Linked DNA regions of Drosophila melanogaster. The protein of the gene in region 1 interacts with the protein of each later gene in a pairwise test. Each region holds a gene or a part of one and is shown in the gene's direction. Other genes may lie near its edges. The genes, in order: Sec24AB, CDK2AP1, stas and CG31140.

Region 1 (10,175 bases):
TATATCAGTAATATAACTCATAAGCATCTTACCCAATAGAATATCGGATCTGGATGATCCACGCGACAGAATCGTCCAGGTCTGCCGCTGGTATATGAGTGCTTACCATGCTGGGCGCAAGAGTGCGGTGGCCAAGAAGCCGTACAATCCAATTTTGGGAGAAGTATTTCAGTGCCATTGGGACATTCCTGGTAGGCAATGCAAAACTAGCTACTGTAGACCACCACTTACGCGTTTTCCTTGATATTAGGCATATCCCAAGACGCTCAGGAGGTACGCGACGGTCCAGTGCCTTGGTGCAGGCGGGATCAACTCACCTTTTTAGCTGAGCAAGTGTCTCACCATCCGCCAAGTAATACAAAGAAAAAAACAAGACTTTATTACCTCTATCACTTACGCATTTATTTGTTTCAGTTTCTGCCTTCTATGCGGAGCATTATAATAAAAAAATAACATTTGCGGCCCATGTATGGACCAAGTCGAAGTTCTTGGGACTCTCCATTGGAGTTCATAACATTGGTGAGGGTGTTGTGACCCTGGTGGATCGCAGCGAGGAGTACATAGTGACCTTCCCCAACGGCTACGGCAGGTGAGAACGTGTCTGTGGTATTTCCGGTTACAAACAACTGAAGACTATTTCCATTACCAAGGTCTATTCTTACGGTGCCTTGGATTGAGCTCGGCGGTTCGGTGGAGATCAAGTGTCCACAGTCTGGATACTATGCCAACGTGGAGTTCCTCACCAAGCCATTCTATGGCGGCAAACGGAACAGGGTCTCGGCAGAGGTGACTAGCTCTGAATGTGTACATTTGTTTTCTTTTATTAATTCGGATAATCCATAGGTCTATGCGCCGAGCGAAAAGAAGCCTTTCGTCTCTATTACGGGCGAGTGGAGTGGTTTGATGGAGGCCAAGTGGCATGATAAAAACGTAAGTCGTCCAAAATATGTTTGGTTTATGTTTGTAGTGTACTATTATATATTGTTTCTGTAAATGTTGATCCTTTACTTGTACTTTTTCCTCCGCATACTGCGCCAAAACGCTGCAACAAACAACCCCACGAGTTGGCAGCCACATCCACCCTTCACACCCCAACTAGACCTCTACTTACTATCCACGATTCTTCTGCTTTTCTCTTAAATAGCTCGGGAGCATTTCCTCTGTGTGTTTACTTTGTTTGTCTAGAAAATCGAACCCACAAATTAATCCTATGCCTGATTGTCCAACGTTGTATTCAAATTGTTGCTATCTGTACTTATATATGATTGCTGTGTGTTTAATATTACACCCAATCCCAATCAGTTGACCACATAGTGAATCTGAATGAATCTCTTGAATTTTCTAGAAAACCGAAGTATTCGTCGACGTAAATCGCATACCCATATTTAAGAAACAAGTTCGACCAATCGTTGAGCAGGATGAGTACGAATCGCGACGCGTTTGGAAGGAAGTGACAGCGGGACTCAAGTAAACAGCATACCAATTAATTCCTGACCCCCAATTGCGAGTCATGATAAATGTAATCTCTTTGTTCGTTGCTCTTCCACAGGTTCAATGACATCGAGCGCGCTACAACTGCCAAATTCGTTGTGGAGCAACAGCAGCGTGATCAAGCCAAGGTGCGCAAGGAATACGATCTGGCCTGGGAGCACAAGGTACGTCATCCCGATATAGGGTAAAACAGTTAACAGATAATATTCGTTCACAGCACTTTAAGCCCGTGGGCGACAACTGGATCTACGCCAAGCCGCTGAGTCAGCGCATGTATCTGCAGGAGAAGGAGGCCAAGAGATAATGCCTCCGACTGACAACGAGAGCAACAACACCAAAAACGTCTATATATATGGATCATATCAAGAACGAGCCTCAACTATATGTTTAATTCCACAAGTGCGCAAACCTCTCAACACTGACGATACAACGTAACGAATGCAGGAAAAGTTAGAGCAACAACTGAACTGGCAGAAGGAGATCCATGATGGAGGCTCCAGGGTCTGGTTATTAATTGTAAATAATATACACAGAGAAAAAGAAAGGAGTAAAGCTCTGCTCATTAGGTTGGAACGCGAGTCAAGCTCGACAGCTCAGCGGAGACAGAAAAATCAAACACTCACAGTTTCTATACAGAATTAACGATTATTATTTACTACTAAGTACTAGTGTGTTTCAAAGGCAATCGCAGTAAACTGCAACACAATGACACCTATTCAATACCTTTTACATTACTAACATTTACTAACTAGCAACAAAGAAAGAAATCCAATACATAATGGGATATATCAAAAGTTGTAGATTACAAAATGATAGTTACTTAAGGATAATAGAGATTCTATTTTTGAAATAAAAGACTCTGCTATAGACGAAATACAATACCGACACGCTAGTATCCGACAGATACTGCACCCTCGCTTCTTTCCAAGACCACAGGACAGACACACGGACATAGAACACACGGTGCACAATGATTTTCCAGTCGCATAGCTTATAAATCAAATACGATTACCTTTAGTATTATGTTTCGAATTCCACTTGTCACAATAATAACAATAAAGCTTTACCAAGAGTCCGCTGGTGACACACCTTTACACCTTACTGCAATAGAACCCAATTGAAAACCGAACTCCTAGACACGTTGAATAATAGACATTAAATTTAATTTATAACTTTATAACTTACGAGCCAGGAAGCAACACCACCCACACAGCAAATCTACCGACTACTCTCACGCAAAGTTAACGCAAAATGAAACGAATAAAGTAAATACGCTTCGAAATTGATTTAAAGTAATATTTAACGAACTAGTTACCCCGTAGAATAAAAGAATTGTAATCCCAATGGCATTAATTGGAACTTATATCCAAGCCCGGGGAAACTTGTATATATTTTTGCGATTTTCTTTTTAACCAACGTGTTAATTGAGAAATTGAGCTACTCCCAAGCAGATACAAATATTGCAAATAAAGCGATTTGTTCTTTAAGCAGTTTTAATGGATTTTGGATTTCGGGCTTACGAACATTTAAGCTCATATCATTAACAGAGTTATATATAATATACATTGCTTGTCTTCACTTAATAAACATTGCGTTAAGTTTTAAATTTGAATTGTTACAAAAATAATGTTACCATTGGTATCGATAACATTTTATTTGCAATCGATAGGCGACCCAGAGCACTGTCATCTCTTTTTTAAAACCAACGGTCACACTATTGACGTGGCCTCAAAATTTTTTGTTCTCCGGAAAATGCAAAAAGTTTGCATTTAAGTTAATTGTGCATAGCAGCGTACGACGCCAAGTCCAAAGAATCCGCCTGCCAATATAGGACGTGTTCGCATCCATCCGGAGCACGCGAGGAGCGCTTGAAATCGTGTAAGAAAGAAACTAGTGCGGAAGGAAGTTTTGGGAGTGGAGAGAGCGTAGGGAAGTGCGAAAATCGTTTAATTTTCGTTCGCGGAGAAAAATCCAGCCAAGGATTTCACAAAAGACCAGAACAAAGAGTACAACCAGTGGTTTTTACAGCTGCATCCGCCCTTTCCTCACAACGAAAGGCGGAAAAGCTAATTCATAGTCCGCAGCAAAATCGCCAATCAAGGGCGCAAGAAGAAGAGGCAACTACAAAGTGCAAGTGCTGGCCGAGGAACTTCATGCCAATGAAAACTGAAGCTCGGGAAGGTGATAAGTGATTGGTAACCGTGTTATGGGCACTACATATGCCTTGATTGCCCCAATTTCTTTGAGTGGGTGGTGGGCGTGGCGGGTTGACTTCGCCAATAGGCACGTCATCAAAAATTTGCTTTGTTCCGGAGACAAATCCTTTCTCTTCCTGATTGCTTCCACTGCATCTGGGTCACCAATTTAACCGACCCACCTTCTGCGATCATTGATGGCGAGGTCAAGTGCTTGAGGCACGCACACTTACACGTTGTACATCACATAATAACCCATAACGACCTGCTGTCGAAGCTGTTTAAACAGCAAAATATGATATGAAATTATCACCCTATTTCCGACTTACTGTTGACGTAGACACAGTTCTGTAAACACTGAATCAAGACATTTACCTAGGCAGCCAGTCTAGCTTAAAAGTTTGTGATAAAGCTCCAATAACGCAGAATTTCGCATTCCATTCGATCACTGCAAATTCTAAACTGTCTGTAAGCGGGGAAAAGCATCCCGCTTTAAAACTTTACAACTTTTATCAGCCGCACATTGTTTCATGTTACGCGCTTTTTAACATTGAACGATAAGATAATTCCCTGTTTCATGTCGGCAGCAACGCAACCTTCGCTAGTGATAAGATAGCAACTAAACAAAATGTAATTCTTCATCTTTCAGACCACAAACCTATGAATTAGCAGCATGTCGACTTACAATCCGAACTTCGTGCCTCCCGCCCACGCCCCTATGCCACTGAACGGAAACAATTTTGTGAATGGTGTGCAAGGAAGCGTCCAGCAGCAGCCAGGTCCTCCACCTGGTCAGCAGTATATACCACAGAAGCAGCCACAACAGTTCCAGCAACCACCTCCTGCAGCAGCTTTTCCGGGAGCAGGAGCGCCAGGTAATGTGCCACCGCCGCAGCAGTTCAACAGTGGTATTACGAACCAGTTCTTGCCGCCCACGTCAGGAGCAGCTACACCTCTGCAGCAACTGCCGCCCAGCACGCTGCCGCCCCATCTGCGTCCGCCCGCCGCCAACGGACCACCCCTTACGAACGGCAGCAATGGGGCGTCCAGTGCGAACTCTTCGCGCACTGCATCCCCAAGGCCAGTAGGAGCTGCCCCTCAATATGCTCAAGGACCAATCGCTGCAGCGTTGAACAATCCGCCCCTGGCGTCGGGACTGCGTCCTTCGCCCCAACCGACGCACCAATCTCTGGCCAACTTGACGAGCAATCTGGAAAATCTTAACTTGAATACCACTCGAGCAAATGGAGGTACCAGCATTTTGCCACAACCCCAAACCCAGCAACAGTACGCACCCACAGTAACACAAAAGGATGGCAGGGGAGTGGCCTCGGCCCAGACGGGTCCACCGCAGTTCAACGACGCCAACAGTCTGTTGGCGGCCAGCGGAGTGGCCGCTGCACTAGTTCCCAATGCCATGGCGACGCCGTTTAGTGGACAAAAGCCCCCCAATTTGGCTCCAAATCCGGCCAAAATGTTCGGAAGCGCCTCGATGGCCGGTAGACCAACACCAGCGGGGCAACGAATCCCATACGGAGTACCCCCACCAACTAACCCCGAGCAGCAGAGCCAGCAAAACAACAATCTACAGAATGCACCGCCGCCACCAAGAGTAGGAGCGGTATGGCCGCCGAGCTTACCAAATGTAGCGGCGCCGGGAGCCCAGCCCATGATGCCGCCAGCCCAGCAGACACCACAGACGTATCCATACTCCCAGGTTTATCAACCAGGACCACAGCAACAGCCACCACCTCCTCAGTCTGCAGTGCAGCCACCGCCGCCGGGAATGTTCGGAACGCAACCGACTGGAGCTCCACTGCAGTATCAGGCACAGGCGCCTCCTCAGGCTTACGGACAACATCCTCAGCAAGCACCCCAGACTGCACCCGGGGGACCTTATGGAACCACTGCTCCACTAAACGTGGCTCAGCAGGGATTCAGCAGATTGTGGGGACAGGATACTATCGACCTTATGCAGAATCGGCATATCTTAACGCCGGCAACGTTGCCTCCGCCAAAAGTGGTTTTGCACAACCAGTTTCACGAGTCCATAAACTGTAGCCCGAGCATTATGCGCTGTACGCTGACCAAGATTCCCGAGAGCAACTCTCTGCTCCAGAAGTCACGTCTGCCTCTGGGCATTGTGATACATCCCTTCCGTGATGTCAATGTAAGAATTTTATTGAAAATAATTTGATATAAAAGACTTTAACTTGGAATTCCTCACACAGAGCCTCCCTGTTATTCAGTGCATCAACATTGTGCGTTGCCGGCTGTGCCGCACTTACATAAATCCCTTCGTTTACTTCGTGGACAGCAAGATGTGGAAGTGCAATCTGTGTTATCGAGTCAACGAATGTAATTGAAAAGAGTTCCCAGCATATAATGGATTTAGTAATCCAATGTTTCTTTCTTCGTGCAGTGCCAGATGACTTTCAATTTGATCCGGCCACAAAGACATACGGCGACGTAACCCGAAGGCCCGAGGTACGCTCTAGCACCATAGAGTTTATTGCTCCTTCGGAGTACATGTTGCGGCCGCCACAGCCGGCCATGTACCTGTTTCTCTTCGATGTCTCGATAATCGCGCAGCAGAGTGGTTATCTGGAGGCCGCATGCGCCGTACTCAACCGGCACTTAGACGAGATGCCCGGTGATGCGAGGACCCAGGTGGGATTCATTTGCTTCGACAGCTTCGTGCACTTCTACAGCATGGCCGAGGGGCTCAACCAGCCGCACGAAATGACGCTGCTGGACATCGAGGACCCCTTCCTGCCACGTCCTGATAGTTTGCTGGTAAACCTAAAGGAGTGCAAGGAACTGGTGCGTGATCTATTAAAGCAACTGCCTAAGCGGTTTGCCCACACCCACGATCCGGGTTCCGCCTTGGGTGCTGCTCTGCAGGTTGCTTTCAAGCTAATGGTGAGTTGAGCTATTCAAAATTAAAGAGGAACCTTAATCATCGTGAATACTGTATACAGCAAGCGTCCGGCGGACGGATAACCGTCTTTCAATCGTGCCTTCCCAACAAGGGACCCGGAGCCTTGGAGCCGCGCGAAGATCCCAACAACCGCTCGGCAAAGGACGTGGCCCACCTTAACCCGGCAACCGACTTCTACAAGCGCTTTGCCCTAGAGTGCTCCGGCTATCAAATAGCTTGTGACCTCTTCCTGATGAACCAGCAGTACAGCGACATGGCAACCATTTGTAAGTGACTCTTAGTAATGTAAATTCAAACTGCCTTTTTGCATTAAGTTCTCTTACGAGTAATAGAGCACCGTTAACTTATTGGAGTTTCAATTTCCCTATAGCTGGCATTAGCAAACATAGCGGCGGCTGTGTACACCACTTCCCGCTCTACCAGAAGACAAAGCCACACATGGTAGAATCGTTCCGCTCGTGTTTCAAGCGCTATCTTACCAGGAAAATTGGATTTGAGGCGGTAATGCGAATCCGCTGCACTCGTGGCTTGCAGGTGCATACATTCCATGGAAACTTCTTCGTGCGCTCCACGGACCTGCTCTCGTTGCCAAACGTGAATCCGGATGCTGGATATGGCATGCAGATCTCCTACGAGGAGAGCCTCACGGACGCGAAAACGATTTGCTTCCAAGCTGCGCTGCTCTATACGAACAGCGAAGGAGAGCGCCGAATCCGTGTGCACACCGTGTGTTTGCCGGTTACCGCTTCGCTCCCAGAGGTAATGCATTCAGCCGACACGGAAGCTATTATCGGGCTGCTGTCGAAAATGGCGGTTGACCGGTCGGTCGCCTCCAACTTGTCGGACGCCCGCGATGCATTCATAAACGCTACGATCGACGTGTACAATGCCTTCAAGATAGCACAAAATCTGCCATCGGGACAGTCGGGTCAGCTGATAGCGCCGCGCAGCCTGGCGTTGCTCCCGCTCTACATCTTGGCCCTGCTTAAGCACGTGAGTTTTTTGCATATGATCTTAGTTATCACAGCTTATTTCGGTTTTCCACTAGCCCGCTTTCCGTGTGGGAACTAGCACACGACTGGATGATCGGGTCTACGCCATGGATTGCATGAAAACGCTACCGCTGGACCAGCTAATGAAGTACGTGTACCCGGAGCTGTACAAGATCGATGCGTTGATCTACCACGCCCGCAACTCGAACATTAGTTCGAACCAGGATGACGACGAGGACGAGGATGAACCGTTGCCGGAGCTGCCGCGTCTTCAATTGTCCGCGGAACAGTGAGTAGAGTTGATTTATTTTTGACCTTCGATAACGAACGCTTTAACTTCAGCTTGGACTCTCGGTCAATATTTCTGATGGACTGCGGAACGCTGATAATGATCTATGTCGGCCTTAATGTGCCGCCCGATGTTTTGGAAGCTGTTCTGGGTATGATCTTAAAACCCAACCAATTTGTGTTACTAATCTGTTTCTAATTTCAGGCATCAGCTCCACCGCAGAACTGGGTGATTATGTATATGGATTGCCAAATGTTGTGAGCAACGAGAACGATGTGCTGAAGCGTTTTATTTTGCGACTCAACTACGATAAGCCCTACTCGGCGCTGGTGCAGATAATTAGGTAAGTCGGACCACTATTAAAATATTCATAATACCTTGCTAATTATTTTATCTTAAATTAAAGGGACACGAGCACGGCCAAGGGCCAGTTCACCGAGAGATTAACCGACGATCGCAGTGAATCTAGTTTGTCATACTATGAATTTTTGCAACACATTCGGGCTCAGGTTAAATAGTATATAAGCAGGATATCCTACCACTATTGTATGCAGCATAAATACGAGTTTCTAAGAACCTAAAAACTCAGACTCTGGTGACTAGAAGCACGAAGCGAATGCAGGTGACACTGGTGCGAAACAATGGAGACCAGTTCGGGACAGACATACACTTGATACACCTTAACCACCCATCCCCTACCCACTCTCTCGGCTTAGGTAATTTTAAAGTGCATGTATTTATTTATTTGTTGATTTGTTGCACTAAAAATAAAATAAAATAATTGAAGATCATAGTAAATGCGAAAGAGCCAACTTGTCACAACAGAAACTAAGATATCGTTGCCAGTTCGTTTAGGGCGAACATTAGTCAAAAGTTCAGCTAACCAGTCAGTAGAGCTCCCGAAGAAGTGGATGGCTCCGTTATTTATTATAGAAACTATGCAATAAACCAACGAAACTGTTGTACATTATGCTTTAGCTCGATTTTTGTTCGTTCCAACTGCTTCAAACATTCTGCAAACTTCTCAGCCCCACAAATTGTTATCGCTTACCCCAATTGTTTGCTGTTTTCAGTAGTATTTATTTTCCGGAATCCAGAGAAATCTATATTTATTTATAAGTGTAAGGAAAGGCGTTTTGTTGCACTGTAGTTAGCGAACTTATTTCAAACGTATGTACGGATTTGGTATTGTGTATTGCATTCATTGGACTGCTAGGCAGTGAATGTCTTAAGCTTAGAAGGAATATTATACTGTATCAATAAAGAGACCCCATCCCTGTACCTCAGGTGGCGCAGTTGTCGTTCTTTGAGTGGGCTAACTAATCGAAAAACCATATACAAATACTGTACCATACTTTATACACATACGAGTACATCAAGATATAAAGCGAAATAAATTTTAATTAAATCATAAGGCAATGCGTTTTATTTTCATATGTACAGGCACATCTGTTGTTCCCAATATATCCCAATTTAGTTTTGGGAAAGACCTTAATTAAATTAACAATCATTTACAATGGATAGATGATGGCGCATAAGACTCAATAAATCGGTCAGCCCTTCGCAAGACATATCCTGGTTCTATGTTCCTCTACATAAAACAGTTGTCAGCGCCTAGCCAGAGATTCCTGCAAAAATATCAACTTTAATAATGGACAAATATAAATTGGGTATCTGGACTTACGGATTGAAGAAGGGGGAGCGCGGCGGATACTTCCTCTTTGGTGGAGGACACAAGATGGGATCCAGCTTATAATCGTTTGTTGTGTCTAGACTTCTGGGAGAGTAGTGCTGCCAATCTAAGGACTTCTCATCTGGTTGGTAGCCATCGGTCGCGTGCTCAATCTTCACGTGTACCTTGAGATGATCCTGGAGGAGGAATACCTTGTCGCAGAGCTGGCATTGAAAGTGTCCCTCTGTGTTGGGCACATGGGCTTCATGGTATCTTTTATAGTGCTGGTGCAGTTCCAGCGAGGATCGCATCGTGCGCCCGCATATATCGCATGTTTGACCAGTGCTCACAGGCTGCGGAAAGTGGGTGGGGAGGTGTTCGTCCAGCTTCTCAGTGGCATCAAAAGTCTGCTCGCACAGCAGACAGGAAAGTTGCACTTCAGCCAACGCCGTTTCCATTATCTATTTATTTCACATGCAACTTGTTTATTTTTATGTTAGCTTAAGAATATACGAATGGAAACTCTCTATATTTTCAATTCATCAACATATGAACTACTCGCATTACGGTTCCTCGCTCTCGTTCTTTTACTCCG
Region 2 (6,233 bases), on another chromosome or scaffold:
GCAGCTTGCGAGTACCGTGGACGCTGTAATCCAGTGGTCGTCGACGTTGTGGTGCCACCACCTCCGCCGGCCGTAGTGTTGGAGTTGCTGTTTGTATTCACGCTATTGCTGCTGACAATCGGATTGGGAATCGACTGGCTTTCCTGGATCTTGTTCAGCATGTTTCCGGCCATGGTCATACGGCTGGTGAGATTGCCACCGATAGCCGATTGTGTGGGATTACGCGAGAGGTTCATCGGCGCGGTGGCTTGTTTCTTGGGCTCCGGGGCGGCGTGCTGTTCGACAGTATCTTGCATTAGCTCCGGATTGAGCGTGAGTATGGCGTCCAGTTCTACCTCCTTGCCCTTCGTTTCGCCGCGCTCGTACCATTCGACTGTGATGCACTTGCCCGACTGGTTGATCACCGCCACCACGGCCATGTGGACGCGGCCATCCGTCCGCTTGATCTTGACGCTCTGCCCCACCGTAATCATGTCCATGATCCTTCCTCTTTGACTCCACCTGTATATCTCTATTCTCCACCGATCTCTTTCTCTTTCTCCCGGCTTATCCTGCGTTAACTCCGAGTACTGCTTGATGGACAGCAACTTCCACTGCTTGCAGGAGGAGTTCCGTTAGTCGTAGATGTAGTAACTACGTTGTGGTGTGCAAAATGTGCCTAAATAAATACATAAACAAAAAACACAATTTAGTCAGATTTTTTAGGTCGAAAATAATTTTATTTCGTTGTTTCTTGACGAGCGATAAACTTGTGGAAACTAAGCCCCGAACCGAATTCAAGGCATTGACAACTAAATCGAACCCAACTGCTTGTCGAGGTCGCCGACAGCGTCTGTTTTTTTTTTTTCGAGTGTCCCAGTGTGTGTGTGTGTGCTGCTTGCGGGTCGGCGTTAGTATGTGTGTTTGTGCTGAATTCAAATGCCAACTGTCGTTTTCGTTGCGTCTGGCAACGGATAACAAAAAGGAAAAACGGCAGCCCGCTGGCTGGGAATTGGAAATAGGAAAAGGGGAGCTCCGAGCCAGCGTAGGATCGCGAAAATCCCAACCGAGTTGCTGCTTTTGTTGTTGTGCGCCCATTTTGTGGGCACTGGCGGCACTGTGCAACACTGACACACACATAGCGACACATATGCAGCTGCGGCAAGCCTTTTGGCCGAAATGCAGCGAAAAAAACAACAAACCGCGGCGTTTGGCAGCCAATCAATGCTTTCCGCTCCTAATTAGATGCAAAACTGATGAGAGAGAAACACAACACTTGCACACACACACATATGCAAGGAGTGGGGGGAATGCGTTTGCTTTATCGCTTTACGTCATACACAGAGCACCCACACACACTTGCGAGCAAACACAAACACACACCGATGCAGAAAACAGACGGTCGCGGAAATTTAATTGAATTTTTCGCAATCTTCTGCCTTTCGCTCACCTTTCCTGCTATCTTCCCAACCGCTACAATGTGTTAGCACTTTCCATTAAAAAAAAAACTGGCGGATTTATCGACCGATCACAACGAAATATCACAAAATCTGCTAGAAATAGTTTTGCAAGCGACCAGATGTCAGCAACACAATTTTTTAGTTTCGCCTCGCCATTGTTTTTTGTCCCCGCCGCGTTGCGCAGCACTGGACTGCAGCGCAAACAGTGCTGGCAATCAGCCGTTGTGTTTGAAAAGTGAGACAATTGGCGTGTTAATAAGTGAATAAAATCCATATTAAGCAGGGTTACTATTGGCTAAGTAGTTTTTGGGTATATTTATGACTTTTTAGTAGAAATACAAGTATAATTTTGACAACTTGAGAGTTTATTATTAAGATTGATGTCTTGGCCAACACTAGGCAAAGTAACCGTTAAAAATGTCAGCTGTTTTGGAATTTATATCAATAAGTAATAAAAATAAGCGACCGCTTTTGTTGGCATAAGCATAAGTTCATTAAAATGTGCCTTATTTATTGAAAGAATCAACGTTTCGGCAATACTTTGTATATTTGTGTGCAATTGGCTTTTCCGCCCCCCGAAACTAGACAACACTAGACATACATAACGTTGGGTATTTTTAAGCCCTAACAAAATTAGCTGTTTAATAAGACAAATTGGGAGTGCCTTATCAGGGTGAACTAGGTATTATTCGACGTGGATGGTTATTCATTTGCATGGTTTTACCGTTTTGTCATTCATGTATACATATGCACTTGGGTTAAATTTTGTAATTTTCTTGTAGTTTTATGGTTGTTAATTATCTTTTTTTCAAAAACATTTAGCCATTTACCAATTTGGACAAAGAGCTTTCCACATGTATACAAATTGCTTGTACAGTGGAAACACCCACATTCGAGACGCGAATAGGTGGGCACTTTGCATCGCGCTTGTCTATCGATACTATAATCCGAACCATCGACTTTTGTTGGTGGGGGTGTATTTGTTTGTGCGTTGAAGGGAAAGCGTAATAACGCCTCCTGATATCGATATCGATATCATATCACAAAAAACAATAAACCAAAAAAGAAACGCTAAAAACTAGTAGTTTTGTGTGCCAGGAAAACGGAAAGGTGGACATAGTTAAGTTACCACAACAACCGACGGATATCGACTCCAGACACCACATCGCCCAGCGCCACCATGGACATCATGGATATCCAGGCCGTAGAGTCCAAGCTGAGTGACGTCACGGTGACACCGATACCGCGCAGCCAAGTGCAGAATTTCTACAATTACCAGCAGCAGCGGGAGCAGCGCGAGCAGCAGCCCCAAATCCAGATATCGGCCATCCACCACTCGCGTGGATCCGTTGGCGGAGGAGGCGGATCCAACTCATCCAACGCTGCCACCGACTACTCCACGAGCAGCGGTGGCAAGCGGGAGCGGGACCGCTCCTCCGCCAGCGACTACAGCAGCTCGTCCAGCAAGCAGAGCTCCGCTGCAGCGGCCAATGCAGCAGCAGCTGCCGCCGCCGTCGCTGCCCTCCAATACTCCCCGCAGTTCCTCCAGGCCCAGCTGGCGCTACTCCAGCAGCAGTCGAACACGACGGCCACGCCGGCAGCCGTCGCCGCTGCGGCCCTCTCGCTGGCCAACATGTGCTCCAGCAATGGTGGTCAGCGGAATTCCGGTGCCGGCGTTTCCTCCACCTCCTCTGGCAGCAATGGCCAGAGCATGGGCCTGAATCTGAGCTCATCGCAGCTAAAGTACCCGCCACCCTCCACCTCGCCCGTGGTGGTGACCACCCAAACTTCGGCCAATATCACCACGCCGCTGACCTCCACGGCCAGCCTGCCCTCAGTGGGCCCGGGCAATGGGCTGACCAAGTACGCCCAGCTGCTGGCCGTCATTGAGGAGATGGGCCGCGATATCCGGCCCACGTACACGGGCTCGCGCAGCTCCACGGAGCGTCTCAAGCGGGGCATTGTCCATGCCCGCATCCTGGTGCGCGAATGCCTCATGGAAACGGAGCGTGCGGCGCGCCAATGAGAGGAGGAGTCGCTGGCGCCGCAGCTGGCGACCCCGGAGTGAAATGGACCAGGAGGCGAGGATCGGCCTCATCTAGGTTAATTACCCCCAAACAAAAAAAACAAAAAAAAACACGGACATATAGCAAACGCAAAGATCCATTTTGTCCCAATTAAGCATTAAAGTGTAGCAATTTGTACTAACTTGTAAGCCCACATCAACTTAATGGCCCTCGGGCCGCCGGACCATAGTTAAAGAATGTTTAGACTAGCTCAGGTTACAATCGGTTAAATCGACAATGCTACAAGTATAGCTGCAGCCCAAGTTATTGGACTTGTGTATCTCTACCGTATACCCATTAATTTGTATCCGTTAATGCAAGACCCAGTTGCTCCTGTGTCTGCGTTAGTGAATGCAATCAATTACGAGTATCTAATGGCAACCGCCGTCGAGGATTTGCAGATACAAATGCAGATGCAGATACGGATGTATCTGGACAGGATTTGTGCGAGTTTGTCACTGCCGGATAAAGCTGCTCCTCGTTATTTTAGAGAACTATACAAATGCAGATATGTAGATGTAGTTAAGCAGAGATATATGTATACATATATACTTGTTATGCAAGCGAACAGTGTGCATGTCCAAGTGAATGGTGAATTAGTGGCAATTGACACGAGAATATTTATATATGTATACACATTATTTACTATATGTATGAGAGCAAATACGACTAAGTTCAAGCATGTATACCAAACCGAAACCGAAATCGAAATCGAAATAAATGCGCTATTTTGGTTTTTGTAAACGCAGAACTGGCAAACTTGATTCTAATTATGTATGAACCCCTCATAACCATCCATCCAACTGCATCTCTCATTTAAGGTATGTATGTTTCTATAGTTATATATTCAGTTTTCATAGTTCATTTCACATTTGCAGTTCGACTTGCGAGGGAGGCGTTGTCAGCAGTTGAACTTGGGACAGCAGCCGGGATAGGGTTTGCTCAGATCCTCTTCCATTTTGCAGGGCTTCAAGGAGGCGATGGCCGGGCATCTGGATGGCCACAAGTGGCAAGGTGGGTGAGTCAAGGAGTCATCAATCCATGTAGAAGCTACTCACCCCAAGGCAGTCACCTGTTTGGGTGCCTGGCAGGTGTACTGCAGGCAGCGACCTTCCGGCGTGTACTTCTCTCCGGTCTTGAACTGATGCCCACCGATCTCGCAATCCACTACGAATGAACAAGATGAACATGCGGGATTGAATGGTTTGTGGCGACGATGCACTGCATCCACTTACCGGCGAACACCAGCAGCGAGTGGGCGCCCAGAACGAGCAGGCAGAGTACGAACGTGACCGATTTCATATTATGTAGCTAACTGATCAACGGATCGCTCGGCTGGGCGACTATATAGTTCCACTTGTTTCGGGGTGCGCCAGCGATTAGACTGAAAGGTCAAGATCCCTGTGCTCCCGTGCGATTGCGTCTCAGGGGTCCTCGGGTTTATCAAATAGGTGGAAAATTCTCGTTACATACAGATTCGTTCCGGAGGCTGGCGAAACAGCTGCAGTTCCAGTGATAACATCATTAGTTTCTTAAACTATATATGTTTTTATTTAACTAAAGATTATACTTGTTACTAGTACTTTGGCTAACTTTGCCACAAGATCAATGGATTATAGTTTAAATAGAAATAGTAATTCCGAACAGATCGATGCTTTTGGATCTAGTATCTTGTATCTAGTATTCGTCGGAGCACTCGAGTTGGGGACAGCACTCGGGGAACTTGAAATCATAGTCGTTGGGTGAGAGGTGGCAGCCAGGTCGCGGCCATGGCTGTTTGTCGCAGCTGGAAGGGATTGGGCGAAATGGGATATAGTGAGGGCATGCGATCAAATCTCGAAACTTACTGGCGTATCAACAGCAGATAGTCATCGGTGCACTCCAAGCGAATGCAGTAGCCCTGCTGACCGGAGGGCAGAACGTAGCCATTGAGTGGAACGGCCAGGTCCAACTCCTCGTAGAGGCAGTGCTCCGCCAGGCTAGGGTGCTGCGTGTGACCACGATACTGGGTGCTGAACCCATTGCCGTCCACCGATGCGGCCAGCAGACAGGCCACAAAAGCTAGGGACATCCAAGCTGCTCCGGACATGGTTGCTCTCGTTGTGGAATAGCATTGGGTCGTCACCGGAACTCATCTCTTATAGGCGGCGGGCCATCCATCTTATCAGCTGGCTATCAACGCTCTCGTGATTCCGATTTCGGCTGCGTTTGCCTTGCTCTCGTCATCTGGAAGTGGAGGAAGTGGCGCACCACGTTATCGCACTTGCTGACACTCGAGGATGTTGGCCTAGACCAGGAAAGTATGCACCAAGCAAATGCTATCAGGTATTCGCCATTCCACTCATGGGATAGTTGCAAAAGTAATTCAGTTTTTCAATCAACAAATATTGGTTAAGCCATTTGGGAGCTGGGTAACTAATTATTAGTTGGGTAAACCATTTCAGGAAATTCTAGTAGGATTAATAGAAGAGGAACCCAAAATGTAGTCAACTTTTTAGCAAAAGTTAATAACTATACCTATAGCTTATATGTAATTAAGAAGTAATACGACAATCTTACCAATTTGCATACCAAGTAATGTATCTATCATAATTAGTTAGTCTATCTGTATTGTATCTATCTATCACTTCATACTGTATATATCTATCTATCAATACTATATCTATCAATCTATCTATCTATACTGTAACTATATATCTATCATATATCTATCATATATCTATACTGT
Region 3 (9,337 bases), on another chromosome or scaffold:
TGACAATAAATCCATGACGAGCGTGAATAGAGAGATCACTACTAAGAAGCTGGAGACTCCTCTGCGATCCATTTTGATCAAATGCAAGGAGGTCGAGTCTGTTGCCATTTCCAACTCGCCAACAAAGCAAGTGCGTTTTTCTCCCTATCCAGAGATAAGCCATATCGAAGAGGAGAAATTTGAGAAGACCGATTGGCTTTCTCCTTCAGAAGAGGCAGGTGTCCCAAATGCGGAATTAGAAGAGGACAGTGACGAAATGGAGGCCACAGACGAAGATTTTGAGGAAATATCAGAAGAAGAATTCGAAATGGCGCTGAAAGATGAAGGATTTGAGCAGGAGGTAAAAGTAGAAAAGTCAGAAGAGGTTTTGCATCTAGAACAGGATAGATATGATGAGAAATCTGGCTCAGAAGTCGAGGAATCCGTATCGGATGACAAGGAATCCGGAGGGGAGGCTTCAGGAGAGGAGGAGCCGGCTGATGCGGCCAAACAAGTAAAAATCGGCGAAAACCCGAAGACTGATGAGCAGCTATCCAATGAAATTTCCGATAAACCACAAATAATTAGAGTCGACACTCTCTCTCCCTTCAAAAACATATCTTCCTGGGCCAGCGACGATATACCCAGCACCTCCAAGGGCACTCTTAATCGTTTTACTGCAACCCAGTTTATGAACTATGGTAGCAATCGCGATGAAAACGAGGCGCCGCCTTGCAAGCGACTAAAATTGGAGGAGGAGGAGTTCCCAATGAGCCAACCAATGCCGGATTACTTTAAGCATCCGTCGTCCACATTCAACAACTTTGATGATCAATCACTTCGATTCAGCTCGCCCCACAACAATTTTGACGATGATTACCTGCTGAACTTCAGCGATGATAATGATGTTACACCTACTGCCGCCTCGGCGTACATACTTTAAATTGTTAACGTATTTTGGTCAAAAATTAATGTATGTTCTTTATAAGAACGGACAATTAATTAATATCCAGATACTTATTCATTCATTGCCATTTGCAATCAAAAAAAATTTCACTTCAGCTAAATTATTTGTAGCTTTATAATGAAATTAATTTGCGTACATAATATGCATATGTACATTTAAATCATACGTATTCAGTTCGAAAGTGCCGTTTCAGACTTATTCTTCATTTTGTCGTTGCTTATAAACTAATAAAACAATAAATTAAGACAAATTCGTGACTTTAAATATTTAATTTTACTGCAAACAGTAAATTTTACCACTTGCAATAAAATACTTTTCTCATTACAGCATATAAATCTTTATTAAAAATGTATATTATAAAATAGGGGAATATGAAGACTACTTAATACAATACATAGTGTAAAATACATTTATATATTTAATCTAATATATATTTAACTTTAATATTTCATTTGTAATTCTGGGCGCCAATGGTTTGAGTCCAAGCTTTAATCGATTTGGTATATTTATGGTTTGTTTTGGTATTTGTCAGCATGCATCGCGCTTAGTATTTTAACCCATGCTGTCGATACCACGAGTTTGTTTTACAAAAATTGAACCAAAACCCAAAATAAATGGCTCGGAAACGAAAGATTCCCGTGCGCAAGCACCACGGCGTCCGTGATCCCCTCAAGCAGCTGGAACAGAAGGAGAAGAAGTTTGTTCATAGTGGCAAGTCAGTCGAAAAAGGCAGCTAAACTAATATCTGCACCATTTCACATTTCAGACTTTCCAAAGTAACGAACAATCCGCCTGTGAAAAAGGATGAGCAGCAGGTGTCCTTTAAGTTCCGTCAGTTTCAGCAGCTTGCCAACGCCACCAAATCGGGCAAGAAGCTAAGATTGGGCGAAATTGGACGGGAGGATAAGCCCAAATCCTCTCCAGGATCCAAGCCTGGCAGTAGTTCCTCCTCAAAGGAAACGCGTAACATCAAGCAGTTCGCCAACGAAACGGACGAGGATTATCTGCGCCGAGTGAATCGCATGACCAATGCATCCGTACGGGAAGCCCACTACGAGGCCAAGTATGGTGTGAACGTGATCAGAAACCCCAAAACCGGGGAGATTACTGTCCAAAAGAGGCCGAAAAACGAGATCGACGAGCTGCTCAAGCAGAAGCAAAAGGAGCAACGGCTGGCGGGCAAAAGGGGTCGCAAAAAGGTTCAAGTCGTACACAAGCCCATGGATGCGAAGACCAGTCGCGAATTGGTGAAGAGGGCCTACAAGGAGGCCCAGCAAGAGGTTGATACCGAGGAGAAGCAGAATGCCGGGCCAACAGAATTCAAACAGGATGCTGTGGCATTTGGTGAGATCGTCCATGCCCCACCTTCCCTCAAAATCCTGCCGCGCAAAGCGGAAAAAAGTGAAACCGTGCCGCGTCCAGGACGCAAAGCCAATCTCCTTCTAAAGTCCATGCTGAATCCCGACCAGGGTCAGTCAAATCGTGGGCCGGAGGACGACGACAGCAGTCGACTAAAGCTGGCTGCCCAATCTAAGAGCGCCTTCAAAGCACCCACCAAGGCCCAGATGAAGGGCAAGCGGAAAGATCTGCCCTTGGCTACGAGGTCAATGCTTGAAACCGAGCGCAGCAAAATGGTTCAGCTATACCGTCAGCTCAAAAACAAGACAACAGCAGATTCCTAACAGATTCTAGACTAGATACCAACGTACTTTTTTTTTTACATGAAAACAAGTTAACCTAATCCCTTAAGTTTCGTGAATGCGTTTGCTACCCACTGAAGGTCGTAGTTTCATTATAGAATGTTAAATATATTGATGAGATTTTTATTAAATCTATTTTCATACAAAATAAAAAGTGCACTGTTTAATTCCACTATTTCTATCAGTATTTCATGGAGGTGGTAATTAATATGGAGTCTTTTGGCAAAAAGAAAAAGGGCACTATTATGTTGATATTTATAGATACAAAAAAAGTACTTCACTTGCTTATGCAGACACTCACATTTTTTTATTTACGTATAACATTAAAAAATATAAATAAAATTTAGAGAAACTAAAAAGTGGCGCTAAATATGACAGTATGACCAGATTTTATTAGAAACCCACGTTCAGTTTTGTGCGGTAGCTGTGTACACGCTTGGACTTAATCAACACTGCGCCTTCGGCCACACTGGTCGTGACGGAAATTTCTGAAATTAATTTATTTTAAATTGACTTTTAAGCGTGATCGTTCGCCGAAAAAGTCGGCTAAAGTGAAAAGCAATAGAAAAAATTTAAAAAAATTGCTATTAGCGCAGTAGTCAACTACAATTACTCTAGTTAACGCAGTTTTAGCCAACTTCCTATTTTTTTTATATTGATTAAATTCATTGTTGTAGACACACGCACATACACATACGCATAGGCACGCGGATAGAGAGAAGAACAACAAATTGTGACTGGCGCGCAAATAGGCACACAAATAGCATTAACAATTGATAAATAGCCTAGACGCTAAATGAGTCAATCGTGAATTAAAATCGGATATAGAAGGCTTATTAAATTTTCCTTCTTCAACTCGGGCTTACGTACATCGTGTCAAAGCCACAATGTCTTACTGCAGTGGTGTGGGTGAGTGTGCTGTTTTAGTTGTTTTTACTTATCAGCTGAGCGAAGGAACGGTGATTAACCCGCAGCTAGTGCGCAGCCCGTGAAGCCAAAAACGACTATTAACCCTTAGTCCGTGCATTCTGTTCACCACCACCACTTCTGCTTTGGAATGCATATTACATCTGCATGTCTCTGTTTTTTTTTTCTAGCCATTTCCGCTGACGAGGGGATTACAATGCGCAATGGCAGGGCAAAGGCGCTCCAGGAACACTCCCCGGATCAGGTGGCTACTCCACTGTTGCCACAGGTGCCGCCACAGGAGCAACAAGATCTTAATCCACAGCAACAACAGCAGCAGCAGCAACAACAACAGGCCACTCCGCAAAAGCAGGCCATGTCCGCAGACGAGAAGAAGGCCACCAAGAAGTCCCTGGTCATCGTAGCGGGCATTTTTGTGGCCAGCTTGGTCACCATGTGCTATGTGTACGCCATATTCCCCGAGCTCAACGCGTAAGTGGGTCTTTCTGGTGCTAAAGCGCCACAAATGTGTGTCCCCTGCGCATTCGTGCACCTGTAAGGTGTTAAGTGGCCTCCATGTGTGTGTGTGTGTATGCTTAGCTTGTCTCGCTTGATTTGCGAGCAGAGATGTCGACCAATGATCCGCTTAAAATAGCTAGGCTACATCCAACTATGATTAGATATGCTAGGTAGTCATTTACCTAATGCTAGTTATCTCCATTTCGCTTCTAAAACAATATTTTATGTTTAAATATCATAGATATTACATTTGTAGGATGTAAAACTCTTATTGCAAATACTTATTATTGGCTAGATCAGACATAACTATTTGTATGTAGTGAGAAAAGGGCCATTTAATTGTCCAAATATTTACTATAACAGCCATGTTAAATAAGTAACTTAACTCAAATGTCACGCTTTGCATAAGAAAAACTTTCTGCACACGATTATTATTATCTTTAAACTTTACCTAAAGCGGATTGTTATTTGATAGTCTGGTTCTGTGAGTGAGTAAACTTATTTTGTTTAAAGTTCAAGACGTTTGTGTACATATACTTCTATCAATTTGAATTCATCAGAATTTGATTTGCATGGAATCAGCAAGTCAGAGAACAATCTTTGTTTTTTTTTTGTCAAATTTGATCAGCAAACGTAACGTGTTGAAAACTATAAGTGCAGATCCCTCTAATCTTTTTCAAAGTCCCTTGGCAGACCCATTATTCTTATTGATAATGCTGTGAAATTTTACTTATCTATTTTGTTGTTCTTTTTTGTGTTCGTGCCTTTTCACTGCATTGGCATACAGTGATTATAAAGTAATTGAAATAGTAACCAAATCATGATACCTTTTACGGCATTATAAAAACACTTATCTGTATATCGTGAGTTTGCTTCCATTTAAGAGGCGTTTTTGGGCAGTAAAGATAGGAACTATTTACAAAGAGTTATTAAAGTATAGTATTCAATAAATAACAATGGTTTTCTATTTAGATAGTTAATCAAATAGTAATATTATATACCAGTCCCTAGCAACCAAACTTATCTAAATTTGTAAATTAAGAAATATTTCAATTAAGCTCCAGTTGAGTAGCCAGATTTGACTGGAAAATGGCTGAAATTACAGAGCTATCTGGCGAGAGGGTTTACTCGCACACACACACACACACACATCGAGTCACGCCACCGATATATGAAGTATTTGTATATATATACATATATACATAGACTGTGTTTACACCTCGTCTCGGTTTTGTTCTTGCCCAACTTCTGCAGGTCGGAGAAACAACACTTGAAAATTCCGCGTGATATCCAAGATGCTAAGATGCTAGCCAAGGTCCTTGATCGCTACAAGGACATGTACTACTTCGAAGTGATGTTTGGCGTCGTGGTCGCCTACGTATTGTATCCTTTTACCAAATCCAAAAGTACAAATCCAAAGTACGAAAAATGGCATGAAAAGTCGGTCGCCGACTGATTAGATAATAAAAGAGTTCTATCGTTCGGCGGTGACCTTGACCCGATTACCAAAAATGAAGACCCCGCCACTACAAACTATTCACGGTCAGTCGGGCGTTTGTGTGTGTTTCCACCTTAATTAATTCACGATCACCGTTTGAAGCGCATAGTGTGCATATTAAATACGTGGGTAGCACGGGGAAGTGCGAGTGAGATAGCTGTAGGAAGCAGGGGAGCCGCTGAGGTTGCCTTCTTGCTCTTACTTACTACTTGCACTCTCTGGGGTGGACCGTATTTCTTTGGATTTTCCTCACACGCTAGCATTTCGTGTTACTAGAATTCAATGCAAACAAAAAAATAAACCCACAATGCTCAAAACTGGTTCTTCACTGTGCGTATGAGTAATAAAATAACGTATACGCAATGTTAACTGTGTTGCTATTAGTTTATTTAGAAAATGTTTTGCTAACCCAACTGGGTTTAAGATATTTTAAAATGATTAGTTTTTATCGGTGCGTGTCAAGTTTATCGTTTTAATAAGGTCCACTCCAGTGCACGCAGCATGTGCTACCTAAAAATCGACTTTGGTCGTTTATATGACGCATTCTTTGTATTTGTTGCTGTTTTCGTCGCGAAAATCAGCTGAGCTGGACATTATTTTGTTGTCGTCAGTGTTTTGATTTTTTGTATTTTGTTTATTGCTCTTCTTCTTCCGCACTCAAGTGCGTTTTTAGCAGGAATAAACAAAAAAATAAAGAGGCAACCTAGAAGCGAAATCAAAAGCTAAAGCACATACGTAACTTTATAGCCTTGCGCCAGTGTGTTAGTGAGCATTTTTTATTGGCCCGTGCATTTGTTATCGGGCATTTGTTGAATACGTGGTCCGATGCCAGATGGAACGAGACTGTGGGGGATTCTCGGACGATGGGGGTGTCATTGTCAACTCTTTGCGTCTATAAATACCCGCCCACAGACGTTCGAGCACGCGTCCAACTAGTCGTACGATCTGTCTTTAATCCCAAGCACAGTGGTTCCAAGAAAGAACGTATTTTGCTAGCCAATGTGACATGACATGTTTTTAGCCAAAAAATAAACAAAGAATACTGGCAATCTCCTAAAACATCTCTCTAATAGTTTCGCTAATTTTGCCATATAAAACATATCAATGTGGCAATACGTCGAATAGGTCATTAAATTTAGTTGCCACTGCAGGTATCAGATGAAACCGCCTACGACTGGTTACCTTGACCCAATTGAAATCCATTTATAGCCTGCAAACATTCGCCATTCCCGGATCGCTGTTCCTCTCGATTCTGCTGGGATTCCTGTACAAGTTCCCGATCGCCCTGTTCCTCATATGTTTCTGTTCGGCGCTGGGCGCTACCCTATGCTATACACTTTCCAATCTGGTCGGACGTCGTCTGATTCGTCACTTCTGGCCGAAGAAGACCAGCGAGTGGTCGAAGCATGTCGAGGAGTACCGGGACAGTTTGTTCAACTATATGCTATTCCTGCGCATGACACCGATCCTGCCTAACTGGTTCATCAACCTGGCATCGCCAGTCATCGGTGTGCCGCTGCACATCTTCGCATTGGGCACCTTCTGCGGCGTGGCACCGCCCTCGGTGATCGCCATCCAGGCGGGCAAGACGCTCCAGAAGATGACTAGTTCGAGCGAGGCCTTCTCCTGGACCTCAATGGGCATCCTGATGGCCTGCGCCTGTGCATCCTTGCTGCCCGGTCTACTCAAGAACAAGTTCAAGCACAAGAAGGAGGCGTAAGCTGGCCGGAGGATGTGTCCAAAATATATTTATATATATGTATGCTATTCCCCAAACCGAAACCAAAACAAACCGAAAAATCATTAATTGTAATTTATACACTACGCCAGAAACAACACACACACACATACCGATTTTTTTTTGTTTGTAAATTTTTTTTCGGAATGCCACTTTGGGTCTCGATCCACTATGTTTAAGACAACTACAAAATATCTGTGTTTATCCTATTATTAAAATTATTAATGTTTTCTGAACTTGTTCTTACCAAACAACTTTTGCATCATATATTTCCATCAATCGTTTTTAAGTTAGTGAATTTTTGTTTAGTGCTATTGCAGTATTTACTAGAAAAGTTCTCCTCTAAGTAAAACGAGTTAGCAGAAATCCATTGAATATTACGCAGCGTATGTAAGTTAAAAGATGATTAAAGTATGTATGTGTCTGCAAGTAAACGTTAAAACAAATACAAATTACAAATTATGTGTTTTATTTTCGGTCATATCTGGATCTAAAAAACTATCAAGAATATTTTCACGCTGTATGGTCAAGAAGTCATTTTACTCACATGAAACTTATGCAAATAATTTGTTTACTAACAGTGAGATTAAATTTAAATATACGTTATAAATATAGTGAAATTTAAGCTTAAAAAGCGATATATAAGCTTATAAGCTTAAAGCTATGCTTGTTTTGTAAGCTTTTAAAATGTTTAACGGCAAATTTGAATTTACTTGGCAAGAGCTTTGGTCTTCTACCTTCTCGCCCATCTTGTTCATTTACATTGGCCAAAACTTTGGTTTCCCCTGTCGACTATTCTTTGTTATGGCTTTAATTAGCCTTTATTATTCTTGGCATACTGCTCGATTTTTCTTGGCCGCCTTTTTGTTATTCTTGCGGTTTTGGCAGCCATTTGATTTGTGTGCTCAATTAGTTAGGCAAACTTTTTTAAAAGGATTAACTGCTGAGATCCGTTTCTCAAAAATATTTTTAATTTACTTTCGCCGAGACTTTGCGTTGCCCCACGAGATTTTTCACCAACAGTCGGCTGGCTTGTGGTTATCATACCAGTTAACTTGTAGAGTAAGGGGCATACTACATATGTCGCAACTTAAGTATTTAACTGGTAAAAGAAATCGTTAACGAGCCTTGTCCGTCCGTCTGTTCGTTCGTATGGACTTGTAACTAAAAGAGTAAGGATGCAATTTTATACATTTTGTATGCCCGATTTTTTAGCTGAGTAATGGGTATCTAATAGTCGTGGCACTGGACTGTAGTGTTCTCCCTCCTTTTTCTTAGAAGGTCTTCAAGGCAGATGGTGCTACAGGTGTCCACACGCACAGTGGCAAAGACAAAAAAACAAGGGTGAATGCTATAGCCTCGACTATCAGATACCCGTTACTCAGCTAGTGTGAATGCGAACGCGAAATTTCATCATTGGGATATGGATAAATATAAAATAAAAATGAGAAAAATTTTAAAATTGTTCAAACCGTGACCGGTTTGGCGGCTTTAGGGCGGGAGTGGCAACATGGGTCAACACACTTTCGCTGCGGACACACTCGGCTATTGATCCTGATCAAGAATATATATACTTTATATATTTACTTTACTCTACGAGTAACGGGTATAAAAACCACCGGAATTTTGTCAAGCTATACCGACACGCACATCATGGACAACGCGGCTCTTCTCTGCTGTTGTTCTGCTTTTCGTAATTGATTTAGGACGCGTGTAGTGAAACATAAAGGACCGTGATGAGGAAAACAGTGGGTATTGCCTATGGGGGATATGAGCCATATATGTACATATGTATGGTTCGAATCAACAGTAAGTTGATAGTTAAGAATATAGCATTGACCCAAATTTGATGTGCTAAAGAATTCGCGAATTCTGATATGTAATTTATTTGATTTAAGGGCTTGTAAGAACGGAACGATTGGGTTTGTCGTATCGACGCAGTACTGCACGACCGTGCCAGCATAGAAATTGTATTAACGACATCATAATTTCGCCTGCCATGCGTTTCATCAGTACAAAGGCGTACTCCA
Region 4 (6,907 bases), on another chromosome or scaffold:
TGTGTAACCCATGTACCCTCTCTCTTGTTATTATTAACGCTTACCCTACCCGCCACTGCATATATCGATGTTAACACAACTACTACCACCACGAACAACCACCACAGGACTTCAATGAGTATCTCAACTAATCAATGAAAACAATAAATAAATACCAAGAAGAAAAGAAAACCCATCCCAAAGAAACAGTGTAAAGAACATAAAGTTATATTCCCGATCTGCAAAGAGTTAGTGGAGAGTCGATAGGTCAGATCAGTCAATCCTTCGTCCAGCTGTATATATATGTGTATATTGCCCAGCTTCTATTTCCCTGCCTTCCCCGCGCTGCGCTGTGATGTTCATCCATATAATATGCATTTCGTGTTTCCAAGTTGTGCCGTACATGAAAGAAAAGCAAAACAAGATCGAAATTGGTTTCTTTTTTGGACACATTCTACTTACACATACACCTACTACTCTTACTACCACTACTACTCTCTTTCCTTCTACTCTTCTCGTTCTTATTGTTCTTATTCTCTGTACTCCAGGACGAAGCCGTTGAGGGCACTTTAAGAGACATTGGACTCCTCTAAAGAACTAGAACACCCTAGAAATTATGTAGTTGATATTACACGCACACCCCGACACAATAACACACACAGTTACACCCCAGCGATAACGTGTGCTGCACTTGGCACTTTACAGCACTGCTCCATCCACTCCTCAACACTAGTGTGTGATTTGGCTGTTGTACAGCACTGAAGCGCTGAAAAAAAAATTATAAGCAAGAAGACGCCAAGCAGCGTGAGGCTCCAAAAAGCAATAATACTATATAGTAACATCAGAGCATCTGGTATGCGGTTTTTCATACACTCTATCTCGTAAATTTCACGCACAGACACAATAGATTCAGAAAAGTTCATGCAAAACAAGCCAACCTCACGTAGTTCCACCTGGGGTTCCTGAACTGAATTAATATTCCTCTTCCTATCTACATTTTATAATCGAAAGATCATTCCAATCAATCACCAAATGGGCAATAACTAATTTAGTGGGGAAATATATGCAATACTATTCTTACAATAGAAACATGTAAGCTTTAATGTTGATTAAATGAGAACGATATATAATTGAAAATTGTAATAATAACCGAATAAAAAAATCTAGTTTATCTATATCTACAAGTATATATATATATATATATGTTTATGTATGTGTGTTGTACGTTTTAGCCAAATTTTCTGTGTTTTGTAACTGAGAAAAACAAGTTAAAATAAAAACCAAGTATTTTTGAAAAAAAAATCCTAATTGTACTCGTATGCTATATGAAAATGGTAAGACCTGGTGAACCTCAGTTTTCTTTTTAGTGTCTTTGTTAAACGTTTAGTTTTGATTGTTGTCTTTGCTGTTGTTGTGACTGACCAATTTGACTGCTCTAAACTCTTGACGCCCACATTGTTCCACCTCCACTGATCTGATCTCTGAGCTCCACTCCCTCTAAACTGTCTATCTACCTATATGTCTGGCTTAGCGCACCCGTTTGGTGTCCTTTCGTTTTTAGTTGCTACTATATACCACCCTTTTTCATAGTCTTTTTCATAGTTAGCCCCCAGTATCGATACTTTTATTTGGTTTCCTTTTACCCCAAGCGCTGTAAAGTATAGTAACATGTAACTGAAGCTAAGCATTCTCCCTTTCCAGGATGAGACCCCGCAGAGTTTCTTCGACGATCACGGCCTGGGCTAAGTTGGCTCTATGCAAAAGTAACGCCAGAAAGGCATTATCTATATTGAACCCATTTAAAGTCGCCTTAATTGTATGTGTATTTAACGTAACCCAAAAGTATACCGGTTCTATTGTAATTTAACCACCCTGTGTCAGCATAAAAAACATTGTGTATAGAAGTGCTGTTAAACCTATTCCTAATTTCGCTTGGCAAATGCAATTTGCAATACATTTAATTTCACAAAAAAGCATCAATATCGGTTGCTCACACACGTTCATATTTGTAAAGATTAACTTAATGATAAGCAAAGTAAAGCGATGCGATTAATCGACGGTGTGCTCAACTCTATAGTTGTAAGTTAAAAGCCCTATAAATATATAAAAATTGCTGTATCCAAAGTAACCAATCAAAACTCTGTTTACTTTATGCATTCTTTGCTGCAAATAAAGATGGTATCGAGCGTGAGAGTTTTTATATTTCAGTACTACTCTTTTCTGTTGGGACAATAGTACGTCATGGTTATGACGCGGAATAAGCACAAGAAAGTAGGCAATGGTTTTTGAAAAGTTCGTTTTTATGAGATTTTACTAACTTAAATTATAAAATATAAGAAAATGCATTTTCTTACTGATTTTAATATTGAATGTAAAACTCATTTTTTTCAAAAAACCTACATTTCTAACCTTCAATTAAGCCTTAATTTAAAATAATGGTCGTTCTTTGGGCCAATTTCCTCTCTTAGCTTGGCCACATTTATTTTGGGGCCAAGTTGGCAGCTCGCCGACCAACAAATTGTTGATTTCATTTTTATTTGGGGAGGGGGGGTCGCCAGAGAGCATCCTGACTGCGAACGAGAGAGATAGAGAGCGACCTGGCTCTCTCCCTAACGGGAGCTCCCCAACATTTCCCCCTGTTTGTTGTTGGGCACGCACGCACACAGGAATTCGGCGAACTCAACACACTCAGCGTCGAGCGAGAGGGCGCGATTGGCCCCACGGCGTGTGCGAGCGGGACGCAGCGAGAGCGCCAGGCGGAGCAGCGGCGAAGGCAGCGATAAAGGCGCTGCGCCGCGAGAAAGTTGCAGACCCGTCCGCAGAGCGCACCATCGTCTTCAGCGGAGCACACACAGCAGCTAGGTGTGCTCTTCCGTACGTAACGGTTGCGGATTTTCACTGGATTTCCATTTTCACACAGCCAGCACACAGGAAAATTCTCACACACTCGCAGCGAAAAAGTGCATAAAACGCGTGGAAAACTCGGGGGAAATCGCGATGAAAACTTGCGAAAAACTCGCTTTAACTCGATTGCTGTGCGTGTGAAAATTTTCCATCCGGTGAAGGAAAAAAAATTCGAAAGTGCGGCTAGAAAAGAAAAACGAAGGAAAAAGCAGCAGCGCCAGCAGCAGCAGTAGCAGGCAGCATTAGTGGCAGTGTGAAAATCGAATGTGCAAAATTTTGCAGCTTCAAAAATGTATGGTACATAAAATTTCTCTCTCCAAAATCGCGAGTGTGTGTGTGCGCGTGAAAATTACGTTGTCATATGTGCCAAGTACCAAGAGTTTTCCAGGCCCCACTTTCCCATCCGAAGCCAAAGTTTTAACAAATTAACTCCTTCGTGTGATTAGCAATGAAAATGGAAAAAGACAAGGCCACACGCACTCCGTCCAGATACATATATATTCGCATATATATACCAATCAGACATATATATATATACATACATATAGATGTGGTGGCAAGGAATCAAGCCGCGCCAGCAAAAGAAAGAAAGAAAAAAATTCTCTATCTATTGCGATTTGCTCATGCGGCCCGAAAAGAGCGAAGCGCGCAGCATTGGGTGGGAAAAGTGGGTGGCAAGTCCAGAGGGGGAAAGGGGTGGGGGCGTCAGTGGGCTGGGTGGGCGCCACTACGGGTACGAAGTACGGCTGCTTTGTCTACAGTTGTAGAGTGTGTGTGTATACACAGCCTCTGAAATCTATATATCTCGCTTTTTTGGGCCCCCCATTAGCATCCATAATTTTCCGTTTTTTCTGCTTCTGCGCCTCTCCCAGCCCAAAACAAAACAATAATTTCCCTAAGAAAAGCAAAGCCGCAAAGTTTTCATCACCCAACCCCCAAATTGCCGCCCGTTCAACGCATTTGTTGCAAAAATATTGCTCGTTGTGATTTATCCTTAAACTTGGCCACTTTCTTTGAAACGCTCCGTCGTGGTGGAGTTGAGTTCGCGCGAGCGAGTGTGGTGGGTTCCGGAGTGCGCATGTCGCCAGGACATCGCCTGGTGGCCAGGATATATGGACACGGGAAACGGGTCCTGGACATTCCACGTCGTCAGGCTGGCTCCAAACTCACAGTTGCGGTGCAAATAATAGTACCGTCAAGTCCAAGTTCACAACTCATTTCTCAAGTTCGCAGTACTTCTACTTCAAGGGTTAACAACTTTTTTTTATAGAAAGTAACTGCGTATGTGGATTCCAGTTTTATAGATATTCCTTGATTCCATCTATAATCTGCTTTAAGTCATCATAACTACTATAATTTCGTGTAGGTGCTTTTCTGCGCACACAAACGATGCGTTAATATCAATATTCGATAGGATCGAATATCGAACTAAAATTTGAGGGTTTTAAACAATAGGAAACTCATATCTTGTTGTCACAATAGATAGTTATAGAATTATGAGCTTAGGACATAATTCGATGTAAAATCAATGCTAAAAACATGTCATATACACTAAATAAGGACCAAGATCCTTGTGCTTGAGGGCCATTATGCCGACCTTAACTTTGCGTATACACACAATGCGGATTTGTGCGCCTTCCGTTAGCTATCGTTTATTGTCATCAAGTTGAAAACTTCAAGTGTCGTTACCTTTGTTTCCGTCTATTATTAGGACCTGTATGATATAATATTTGACTGGATTGTCCTTGGCCATACCCGCTGGCGGTGGGCGGCCTTTGGCTGGGAGGGGGTGGTGCTGGGAAAGTGGGTGGCGGTGGTAATTGGTTCGTCGCAGAACATGTTGCATACTTGAGGGCGCCGCAGCTATGGAAATTGATAGAATCGCTTTGGGTGGGAGAAATTGAAGCAATGCAGTTTGCTCTAGCTCCCTCTCTCGCTTTCTGTGCCACTCTCTCTTTCTCCTTTTCCCTATGGTTCCCTTTCTCCTTTTCCCTGCGGTACACGCTGTTGATATCATATTTTTGCCACTTCTATTATTATATTGATGTCTACTACTTTTTTATGATGCTCCAAGAATACTGGGAACTTTTTTACCCAACTCACCACGCATGACGCGTGCCTTCTCTCTCGCGCAGCCCCATTTCTCGCTCTCTTTCTAGCTTTCTCTCTCTCTCTCTCGCATTTCCCTGTGGAAACTCCCGCTCTTGTGGATTTTATTATCGGGAAACGTTTTCCTTTCATTTTTTGGCTCTGCTGTTTTTTTCTTTTGGGGTGTGCGGCGCCCACGTATCAGCGCAGAAAAGCGGAAAGTGGAAAAGCAAAGGAACGAGCGAAGTCGAAGAAAAACATTTTCCGAGCTGCTGCTGCTGCTGCGACTGTTCGTTTTCGGTAGTAGTAAAGTGAAGACCGCCCGCCGAGTGAAGTGTGCCTACGTGTGTGTCCGCGACTGTGTGTGCAGTGCTATATACAAAATTCAATTGGAATTTATTTATTTCAAATGGCACACATAAATTCTAACAAGCAATTATCAAATTTATTTTGTTTAGTGCAGCGCCAGAAATTGTAAATAATTAACAGTTAAAAACTCACCACCAAAAGAAAGTTATAAACGAAAACGCTTAACCAAACCAAAGATGCATGAATATGAATCAAAGCAAATATGATACATAGCCAATATGTATATAGAAACTAGTAAGGATAAATAAAGTTCAAAGCGAGGAAAAACACCGATCCCGACAAGCAAATGTCCGGATAAGGGAGCCGCTACCTGACCAATGGATGAAAATGCAGCCGTCGTCGCCGTCACTTTCGCCGTCGTCACTATCGCATCGCTTTTGTCAGCAGCAACAGGAAAAGTCGGAAAAGCACCAGCAGTACCAGCAGCACCAGGAGCAGCAACAGCAGCAGAAGGAGCAGCAGGATCAGAAGGAGCAGTCCTGCCACGCCCACGCCAATCGAACGCCCTCGGTCGGTACGGCAGCGCTGGCTCAGCTGGCGTCGACGCCCGCACCGGCAGCAGCGGCCTAAATTGCCCAACCGCAAGAATCCCACTTCGAAATAGCCCATATACACAGCAGCAGGCGATATTGCAACTGCAACACATACTGCACTCGCAGCAGCCGCGAATACTGCTCATATAACTGCAACATCGAGAGACCTTTGCCGCTGCAAGCGCAACAGCAACTGCAGCTGCAACAGCATCCTCCAGCAGGACAACGCACAAAAAACCCACTACGCATAAGGCAACGGGGCATAAGGAGGCACAAGGAGGCGCAGGAGGATAGACCGGAAGCAGAAGGACAGGAAGTGGGGCGGGCTGCGGACACAGGCAAACAAAATGGCGGATGGTGGGCATTCATTCGTGAAGAAGACATTTCATAAGCCAACATACTGTCACCACTGCTCGGATCTGCTCTGGGGCCTCATCCAGCAGGGATATATCTGCGAAGGTAAGCACCGAGCTAGTACAAGTACTTTAAATATTTTCAATGAGATCACAGGATATCCCACATTTTTTTATTCATATTTATTGCGTAAGCAATTTGATCAGAAAGGCATATCTTACATTGGATTATCTCCTTCAAGATAATCGTTAAAACTGAATTTTCTATATGAAACTACATCTTTCGTCCATCAGTTCTCAATTCAGTCTCAACGGCCGCAATAGAAATAAGTTGTAATTAATGAGCACTAAACAGAACCGAGAAAACGCAGCACGCAAATCATCGAACATCTTCAACGCCAGCGGCAGATGTAAAAATACATTTCGTCTAGTTTTGAAAATACTTTTTAAATTGCCATAAACTTGGAATGAAAATGCGGCCGCTGATGATGTCGATGAGGATGAGGCAGTAGTGGGTGGCATAAACATGCACAGAATAGCGAAATATAGGAATCTTATCATGAAATGATTACTATTATTTTGGATAGTATATGTGAAGTGTTCAAAGCATCAGTAAAAAGATTTAATAACTTAATTGGGTGAATGTATATCTTGACATTTATCAGAAAAGGTTTGCTATTG

Evidence for each region.
Region 2: the proteins of Sec24AB (region 1) and CDK2AP1 interact in a two-hybrid assay, tested with the Drosophila melanogaster proteins (one large-scale study listed by BioGRID).
Region 3: the proteins of Sec24AB (region 1) and stas interact in a two-hybrid assay, tested with the Drosophila melanogaster proteins (one large-scale study listed by BioGRID).
Region 4: the proteins of Sec24AB (region 1) and CG31140 interact in a two-hybrid assay, tested with the Drosophila melanogaster proteins (one large-scale study listed by BioGRID).

What each region holds. Positions count from the first base shown.
Region 1 is NT_033778.4:9,875,377-9,885,551, reverse strand, and holds Sec24AB (secretory 24AB), read left to right. Parts: upstream 1-3,194; 5' UTR 3,195-3,369; exon of another isoform or gene 3,370-4,156; intron 4,157-4,335; 5' UTR 4,336-4,359; coding exon 4,360-5,856; intron 5,857-5,917; coding exon 5,918-6,044; intron 6,045-6,108; coding exon 6,109-6,608; intron 6,609-6,667; coding exon 6,668-6,893; intron 6,894-6,997; coding exon 6,998-7,620; intron 7,621-7,675; coding exon 7,676-7,908; intron 7,909-7,961; coding exon 7,962-8,059; intron 8,060-8,112; coding exon 8,113-8,251; intron 8,252-8,314; coding exon 8,315-8,426; 3' UTR 8,427-9,320; downstream 9,321-10,175. Other genes in the region: CG1513 (uncharacterized protein), read left to right, coding at 40-191, 251-352, 415-589, 651-786, 844-930, 1,346-1,467, 1,550-1,655, 1,709-1,795; CG12744 (uncharacterized protein), read right to left, coding at 9,500-9,536, 9,593-10,038.
Region 2 is NC_004354.4:11,135,438-11,141,670, forward strand, and holds CDK2AP1 (CDK2-associated protein 1), read left to right. Parts: upstream 1-2,421; 5' UTR 2,422-2,619; coding exon 2,620-3,465; coding exon of another isoform or gene 3,466-3,507; 3' UTR 3,508-4,252; downstream 4,253-6,233. Other genes in the region: Klp10A (Kinesin-like protein at 10A), read right to left, coding at 1-479; ssp7 (short spindle 7), read right to left, coding at 4,407-4,497, 4,564-4,672, 4,741-4,807; CG15199 (uncharacterized protein), read right to left, coding at 5,183-5,291, 5,353-5,594.
Region 3 is NC_004354.4:17,621,647-17,630,983, reverse strand, and holds stas (stasimon), read left to right. Parts: upstream 1-3,088; 5' UTR 3,089-3,533; coding exon 3,534-3,555; intron 3,556-3,743; coding exon 3,744-4,044; intron 4,045-5,325; coding exon 5,326-5,454; coding exon of another isoform or gene 5,455-5,527; exon of another isoform or gene 5,528-6,720; intron 6,721-6,778; coding exon 6,779-7,289; 3' UTR 7,290-7,763; downstream 7,764-9,337. Other genes in the region: corolla, read left to right, coding at 1-922; CG8326 (uncharacterized protein), read left to right, coding at 1,561-1,643, 1,713-2,628. UniProt on the Drosophila melanogaster protein: Required in cholinergic neurons, but not in motor neurons, for normal neurotransmitter release by motor neurons. Involved in muscle growth.
Region 4 is NT_033777.3:23,960,371-23,967,277, forward strand, and holds the start of CG31140 (uncharacterized protein), read left to right. Parts: upstream 1-2,809; 5' UTR 2,810-2,853; exon of another isoform or gene 2,854-2,863; intron 2,864-5,429; exon of another isoform or gene 5,430-5,434; 5' UTR 5,435-6,220; coding exon 6,221-6,332; intron 6,333-6,907. Other genes in the region: AP-1sigma (adaptor protein complex 1, sigma subunit), read left to right, coding at 528-572.